2 linked regions of the Yarrowia lipolytica genome follow. The protein of the gene in region 1 purifies or fractionates together with the protein of each later gene. This does not show direct contact. Links are inferred from orthologs where the notes say so. Each region holds a gene or a part of one and is shown on either strand. Other genes may lie near its edges. The genes, in order: YALI1_E02203g and YALI1_B13586g.

Region 1 (4,087 bases):
ACCTCCGAGACGCCGACCAACAAACCAGCATTGGATGTCAACGACGAGTTCACCACACCTGCATATCTCAACCGCATTTCTGTTGATGTTTCTCCATTCGAAAAACGGCTCTCTTTCGCCGAGAGAATCAGGCAGTCTGTAGTCGAGAGTCCTATCAAACAAATGTCTCCTGAGAAGGAGTTGTCACCAGCTAACCAGACTGAAGAGTATGATGACGATGAAGACGCTTGGCGTGAACTTGAAGGACTGCCTCCTAAGCCCAAAGAGCCTAAGATCGTTGATGTTACATTCGACGGGGAGGAACCTGATGAGCTGGACGAGATCATGGGAACTGTGGAGGTCCATAATCCTTATGATGAACCTGTGCAGGACGATTTAGATTGGGTTCATGAAACTGCTCTTGAAGGAGAGACTGCTCTCAGTGCTCCTATCTACAAAGAAGGTGGTATCAAGAAACGCAAGCATCAGACGCAGAAGCGAACCACTAAAAAGGCTATTGTGCGAGTCGAGTCTGAACAGCACAAGAAGGCCAAGGTGGATAACGACAACTTCTCCACCACCAACAGACTCAACACGGGATTCAAGGTCAATATGGGACAGAAGCAGTGGGCCTCGAGGTTTAAGAAGTGATCGCCCTAGCATTTAACATAAGCATACGAACGCATTTAGAGATATAACATATACAGTGTTTTTTGACTAGCTGCCATGTACAACTACTTACATACTAGTCTACAAGCAGCGATATAACTACAAGTACCATTTTCCCAATCATTATCTAATATCTATTCAACAAATGCATCCATCCTTTTGCTCTCTCTAAACACTGAGGAGCTCCAACATACCCTGGATCTTCTTGCTCTCCTTAGCAGTCTCGACCTCGGACTTGAGAGCGTCGTAGAACTCAGACACCCGCTCTTCGAGTATCGGGCTCTTGGTAATCACACTAGTGTACATGTCCAGCACGACTGCAACGTAGTCAGCAACAATGTTGATGTATCGCGAGTCAGCAATGGCCTTGGTAGCGAACTCAAAGAGAGGCTCCAGAGAGTCCTCATCTCGGTTCAGCAGTGCAGCTCGCACCTTACCTCGCTTCTTGAGCTCTTCCAGAGCCAGAACAGAGGTCTCCAGATGCTCTCCAGACAGTGCAGCATCGAGAGCATCACCCCATCGGAATCCGAGAAGCAGGTTTTCATATCGCTTCAGCAGCTTCTTGTTGGGCCGCTCGTGCTCCTCGACAATGACATGCTCAAACTGACCCTCGTACTTGGTTCCTCCAAGCACGGGTCCCTCTGCCTTCTTCTTCTTCTCCTCCTCAACAGCAGCCTTCTGGTCCAGAACCCGTCCGTTGCTGATCTTCTCGTCCTTCTTGGGCTGCTGGGTTCGAACAGCGACAATACCGGAAACCAGACCGGCCACAATATGCTGGGAGTCTAGAGACATACCAGTACAGAGCACTCCGGAGCCGTACTTCCAGCCGTAGGTAACCTTGAATGAGGTATCATCAAAGACCTTGACATGGCCGTCTAGGGAGCCAGCGAAGAATCCAGAAGCACCGTGAGTAGGGGCCAGGCAAGTAACGGTCTTGCTGAAGTTGCCCATTTGTCGGATGGTCTTTCCGGTGGTCATGTCCCAGGCCTTGACAATGGGACCTCCGGCAGACAACACCATTCCGTTGTGGTAGAGGACATCCTCAACCGGGTGATCCTGAGCCAGAGAAGAGATGGGGGTCTTTCCGGATCGGGCGTCGTAGAGTCGAACAGTTCCGTCGTACGAACCAGCAGCGACAACGTTGGCATCGACAAACTCTCCACATCGAACGTAATCCTGAGCGCCCTCAAACTCGATCAGAGGAGTGGAGCTGGTGATATCGTAGAGCTTGACGCTTCGGTCGTCGGAGGCTGTGAGGAGAGTGGTGAGGTTTGTGGGGTGGAACTTAGTCACATGAGTGGCCAGTTGGGACGCCTGCAGAGTCACCAGAATGTTTCTCGACACGGCATCGAAGATCTGAACCAGACCTGTAGCATCACCGGCCACAATCAGCTTACCATCAGACCGGAACTCGCCGCAGTATACAGTATCCTTGAAACGAGAGATAGTCTTGGTGACTTTTCGGGTCTTTCCAGAGAAGATCTGGATTCGAGTAGACGAGGTGACGGCAAAGTCATTGTGATGGTTGAAGGAAACGTGAGAGATGGCATTGTACTCTTTGACGAGCAGAGGCGAACGGTAGGTTTTCCAGAATTTTTGCTCGGGCGTCAAGTCGGAGCCCTTTTTGACCTCCTTAGCAATCGTCAACCGGTTCAAGGGGGCGGACATTGTTGATTTGCTTGTGTGGTGGTGGTGATATTGAAATCTTGCAGATGGTTTCCAATTTTTTCTGTTGTGCATGCACCTTGAACTTTATTTGCGGAGGTGGATTTGGAGATATCCACTGTCGAACATAACTACAAGTAGCTTTATGTTATGGTGAAAGGGGTTGTCACTAAGTGGGATTAACTGGGGGGAGGTTGATATTGAAAGGCAAACAGCTTCTTATAATCTTTCGTGATGGCTAATGGCCTGCTTGTTGTAGGTTTTGCATGCGTTTATCTTCGCGTATTACTTAGTATTACTTAGTAACTTACTTGAACTACAGTTCAGACACTGGCATTGAAAAATGCAATAAATACAGATGTCTTCTCATCTCTGGGAAGAAGCTATAGAAACACCTTGGAACTCTCCTTGGAGTCGTATAACGCACGACCAATCTGACGGTCCAGCTCCATTCCGTAGCCACACTGAAAGTACGACCGGTCAAACCGACAGATGTAAAATCCTGATGGCAGGCACAGCATCTTATGGAAAGGTCCAAACGGTCGTGGACACTCCATATGTGTGTCTTGGGCCAGAAATGCCGAAGTTATCATGTGAGCACGTGCACTAGCACACTCAGAATTGACTCTGAGATCAAAGTACTGATCACGCAAGACAGCCAACAGAGTGGACTTCCAGTTCTTGTCCTCTTCCAGGTTGAGCTTGGAGAGGTTGGGGAATACAGATGGATCCAGCGGAGGCAGAGGATCAGTTGCCTCCAGTTCTAGAGCCAAAACAATCACTCCCGTGAACACATGGTAGTAAATGTTGTTCCAGTGAAACAGAATGTATTGTTGGATCTGTGGAGGAGCAGAGTAGAGATAGAATTGGTTCTCCAGTAGCTTCAGAAGTGACATGAGTCCAGAGAGTCGGTCGATCTTGCCACATCGGAAAAGCAAAAGATTGGCCTTGTGCCATTGTGTTGTCAGTGCCAGTTTCTTCATGAACTCCATAGGATCTCCCTGGGGAAGAGTATTGATTATCTGGTCGATTCGCAGGAGTTCAGCAGGATCTGAAGAATCATGGCTGTTCTGCAGTCCACGGGTGAACATGTAGAGCTTCTGGGTAGTGTGTAGAAACGGGTATGAGCTGAAAGGCAATTGGGGGTATTCTAACCCAGATTTGTGGCCTACAAATGCTTGGCAGGCGTCGAAAAAAGTGCCAGAAACCGAAATGAGGTGGTTTGCAGCTTCCTTCACGTCGCTGGAGGCTGTAAAGGGAGGCAGAATCCGTTGGCTCATTGTTACCAACAGACCACACAGAGACCATCCCACCATAAGACAGTCGCCAGAGAATGAACTGTAAATGTAGAGCAGTGCTGCTCGGAAGTCGTCGATCGACGAGGTCACTAACAAGGGTATTCTGTTGAGGTATTGCTCGGCGCGATCAGAAAAGTGGATGACGGCTGAAGCATGCAAGGTATGTAGCAGCGAGTCGAAAGCGCAGGACTTGCAACTCAGGGCGTAGACTGTGTATATCAGAGCCAGGAAGGACGGTGGTTGTGGCGGTGATGGCGGTGTAGGACCAGCCTGCCCGGGGTATAGGTTTTCATAATGTTCTTCGAACTCCTTCCAGTCAATAATGGGGAAGAAGGGGTCCACCAAATTCCTATAGTTCTCGATCAGAATGTCGCTTATGTTCTTCGGGAGCGGCTCGTTGGCAATGGCGCTCTCGTACTCTTCTGTTTTGTAGGAAAAGATGCTGAGGGGATTGTTGTTTGGCGCTGTTTGGATCG
Region 2 (4,307 bases), on another chromosome or scaffold:
GCTGAAACTGAACATTACCTTCTTTTGGATGTTTCTTCTTCTTCAGACTGGATCTCCATCGATCAGGTGTCTCAGAAGAGCGCTAGCTTCGACTTTGTCACCGGAGCTACAATCTCCACTTCCAATACCATCTCCACTGATATTTCCTTCCCCAAATTGACTTCTGGACTCGTTTCTTACAAGGTCAGTGTCTCGAAGGGAGTGCAGCTTGTTCGACAATACGTTCAACAAAATTCTAGTCGAGTATACGACTCTAAGTACCTTGTGCCTCACAACGGGGTAGTTGACGTATCGTTCCATGGAGATGTCCCCTTTGTTCCTTATTTTCAGTCATCTCCTCTTCATCTACAGGTCTTTGGAGGGGGTCATGTGACTATCCGGGTGGACTGGATCGGTTCTCTGGGTAACCTATTTATGCGGTATCGCATTCTCTTCATTTCTCTTCCTTCTGCTATCTTGTATGCAATCTTTTTGGTACAGTTCCATGCAGGTACTGCCAGGTTTCTGTCTCTTCGACAAAGTACAAGTATCTTTATTAACCGTTACCTACTTACTTCATGCTTGGCTGGGTCTGGTATTGCCTATTTGACGGGACTTTCACAAGTCAGAGACTTTCTACATCTCATTCAGATCCCTATTACCAAGACCTTTGCCGTTGACCCTTCATACACTAAGAACGACTTGTTTTTAGGACTCAGCGGAGTCTCTGGGACAGTTCTGGCACCTATCTTCACTGTCTTCTCCACCGGTATGGTTGTTTTGATCACAGAACTGGTCATGGGATTGACTTCTCTTCTGTCCTTCTGTTTCAAAAGCACTACAACTGCCCAGTCAGAGTCAGAATCAGGCGACCCTATCAGCGATCTTTTACACAAGAGAACTGTTTTTGTGGCTGTCATTTCTGTTCTGGTTCTGCTGTTCTTTCCCTACCAGCTGGCCTTTACTCTGGCCACTGTGGCTCTTCTGGTGATGACTGCGTACTTCAAGTCCAACAAAGCTCCGCAGGAACAATCATTCAACAACTACATTTCCACCATCTGTGTTCTCATGACTTGGACATGTATCATAAATGCTCCTGTGCTGGCAGTCTGGATTCAGGGCATTGTTGTTCAGCGATCAATGACCTTTTCTTCCCATCACAACCTCGTTTCCATTCTCCCCACACTGCTGTTTGTGGAAAACCTATCCTTCAGGCGTATTCCCAGTGGTTCTTCCATCACTTCTCTCTTGTTGGCATACACCAGTCTGCACTGTTTGTTCTATGGAATGATGCAGGCATTCATGATCCACCATGGATTCAACCTGTTGGCCACCTGGCTCCTTTGCATGTCCTACAAAAAGGTCTTTTTCAAGTCCAAGCATGAGTAACCAAATCGATGAAACAAGTGGAGTGCGAAGAGGGTGACTATAAGTAGTGAGTGCAGTAGCTACTTTAGTGAGCTGGGAGCCTTGGGTCTAAAAGTGGCAAGTAAAAGAGTCTTAGACGGGTGTAAACGTATGATAAGTTCTATAACCAGTTCAATTTCCTGTAACTATTCGGTATCCCTATAATTCCACAAATATATGTCATATTCCTCTCCCCATATTGCCCTTCGCTTACATAATCATCCGATTAAACTCTGAGTTTATTTGAAAAAAATCCTGTGGGTGCATGATCAAGTTTTCAGTTTGGACTTTTTATACCACAATTCACTAAAAGCACAGCACAATGTCTGGAATTCCCACGATTGTGACGTTGGACGAGCCGCTGAGCGTGTTGGCCGTGCCCGATTCTGAGCTCAAGAAGCAGGCTCTTGCCAAGGTCAAGGAGGCGCTGGACCCTCTCTCAGAGCAGTACTCGGTGCTTGATCAGATTCATGTTCAGGATATGGATGCTGAGATGGTCTGGGCTCAGGCCAAGATGGTTATCGATGGCGTTTGTGATAAGATGATTGGCGAGGTGTTTCCCAAGTACGGCAAGATCCAGCCCGACAGCGAGCAAGAAGATGAGGAAGAGGAGAGTGACGACGAGAGCCAGTATGAGAGCGCTCAGGAGGAGGTTCCTGGAGAGGAGGTTGTTGGCGAGGAGGAGGATGAGGGAGTTGACGTCTTTGACGATGGCGACGAGGACGACGAGGACGATACTGAGGAGGACAACGAAGGCAGCGATGTTGATATGGACATGGATAATCTTGTTGATGATTATGAAGATGAGGAAGAAAAGGAAGACGACGACGAGGAAGAGGAGGAGGAGGAGGAGGAGGAAGACGATTCTGGAGGGGAAGAAAAGCCCGATAAATTCGGTCTCAATGATGGCTTCTTCGATATCGACAAGTTCAACAAGCAGATCATGGCCATGGAGGCTGACAACTTTGGAGAAGACGGACCCGACTTTGATTGGAACAAAGAGCTCGGCGAGCAGAGCGACGACTCGGTCGACGATATCAAGTACGACGACTTTTTCGGCAAGGCCAAGTTTGACAAGAAGCTGCAGTACGAGCAGCGGGTTGCCAAGCGACAAAAGCTTGCCGAACAGGCTCTGGAGAACAAGGATGAGGAGTCTGACGATGAGTCTGACAACGAGGCCGGTTCTGACGACAACGAAGCTGACTTCGACATGGAGGGATCTGGGGACGAAAACGAATACGAGGACATGATCAACTCTGTTAAGAAGGATCTGTTCGAGGAAGATATTGCCGAAGACACCCCCGAGCATCTGTCGACGTTTGAGAAACAGCAACGGGAAATCATGAAGCAGATTGCCCAGTACGAGAAGGAAAACGTGGGCGAAAAGAAGTGGACCCTTAAGGGAGAGGCTCGAGCAGCCCAGCGAACTAAGGACTCGCTGCTGGAGGAGGATCTGGACTTTGAGCGGGGAGCTAAACCTGTTCCGGTCATGACCCAGGCCGTCACCGAGTCGCTGGAAGACATGATCAAGGCCCGAATCAAGAGCGGCCAGTTTGATGACCTTCCGCGACGTTTCTTTGACGACCTGCCTCAGTTCAAGAAGAGCAAGCTCATCGAGGTCTCTGAGCAAAAGTCGCAAAAGTCTCTGGCTGATCTGTACGAGGCTGAGGCTATGGGAGAGACCGAACCATCGACGACGAACGAGCCCCCTAACGAAATGCGAGACGCTGCCCATCGAGAAATCGAAGACCTATACGCCGACGTTGCCTACACCCTCGATTCTCTGTCATCTTGGACCTACAAGCCCAAACCCACTAAATCCATCCAGATTGTCACCAACGCTCCTGCCATCTCCATGGAGGAGGCCCAGCCCCAGGCTCTGGCCCAGGAGGAACAGCTGGCTCCCCAGGAGGTTTACAAGCCCGAGGTTGCCGATAAGAGAGAGCGACTGGCTGGCTCGACTGGCCTTCCTCAGACCAAGGCTGAGATGACCCGAGAAGAGCGAAAGCGAGCCAAGAAGAAGGAGAAGATTGCCCGAGGAAAGCAGTTGGCAGAGAAGGAGGAGCGACAGCGATCTCTTGCGGTGCATTCCAAGGAGGGCGATGCCAAGGGCTCCAAGGCCCAGGTCATGGAGACTCTGAAGCAGGGTAATGTTACGGTGATTGGAAAGAGAGGCGAGAAGAGAGGACTAGATGGAAAGCTGAAGAGGGATCAGAAAGCCAAGGATGGTTACAGTCTGAAACTGTGATCGAAGCGAACAAAAAGTCCAGTTACAAATTATATAATTGATAGAGCATGTTTATTGAATGGCTGTAGGTAGAAGAGTTACGTATTTTTGAATATGGGTAATTACAAGAGCATACACAGCTGATGACGACCAACCTTGCCCTTGGAGTTTCCAATACTATGAAACACAGGTTATTCCCTGGAGTTTACACACCAGCCACGATCGATGTTCTAGTATGAAACCATTCTGTCGTGTGTCTAACACTCTTCGTCTATCAACGCCCGAGACAAGCTGAAACACAGACGACCTCGTTGAACGCACCCCATTTACACGCTTCCAAAGCCGATTCAGAGATCTACTTGGGATTTTTGGTGCTCCGGTTACCCGTTGCTGTCCGTGTATCGGTTTACTGTTTCTTACCCATCTCATCCCTTCAGGCAAGTCCAACGGGACCCCTGCTTATGTCCGACTACTTCCGACGATAGAGCAGCAAGAGTAAGGATATGGGGTTGTTGTACGACGGGAATGTTGCGTAGCTATTTTCAGGGGGTGTAAGGTGGTGCAAGGGGTCGAGGGACGACCCTCCGAGACAACTATTGTTGCACATTCAATTACCGGAAACAGAAAGTACAGGAACAGGCACACCATTCCAATCACCCTGCAACAAGGCGATTGCAGATACCCCCTTTCTTCC

What was found.
Region 2: the proteins of YALI1_E02203g (region 1) and YALI1_B13586g purify together in Saccharomyces cerevisiae (affinity purification with mass spectrometry; 3 studies listed by BioGRID, with this or other methods). This does not show direct contact. The link is inferred for Yarrowia lipolytica from reciprocal best matches to the Saccharomyces cerevisiae genes UTP15 and MPP10.

Annotation. Positions count from the first base shown.
Region 1 is NC_090774.1:218,660-222,746, reverse strand, and holds YALI1_E02203g (uncharacterized protein), read right to left. Parts: upstream 2,389-4,087; coding exon 817-2,388; downstream 1-816. Other genes in the region: YALI1_E02231g (uncharacterized protein), read left to right, coding at 1-630; YALI1_E02183g (uncharacterized protein), read right to left, coding at 2,697-4,087. UniProt on the Saccharomyces cerevisiae protein: Involved in nucleolar processing of pre-18S ribosomal RNA. Required for optimal pre-ribosomal RNA transcription by RNA polymerase I together with a subset of U3 proteins required for transcription (t-UTPs).
Region 2 is NC_090771.1:1,356,941-1,361,247, forward strand, and holds YALI1_B13586g (uncharacterized protein), read left to right. Parts: upstream 1-1,708; coding exon 1,709-3,634; downstream 3,635-4,307. Other genes in the region: YALI1_B13556g (uncharacterized protein), read left to right, coding at 1-1,368. UniProt on the Saccharomyces cerevisiae protein: Involved in nucleolar processing of pre-18S ribosomal RNA. Required for the early cleavages at sites A0, A1 and A2 during 18S ribosomal pre-RNA processing.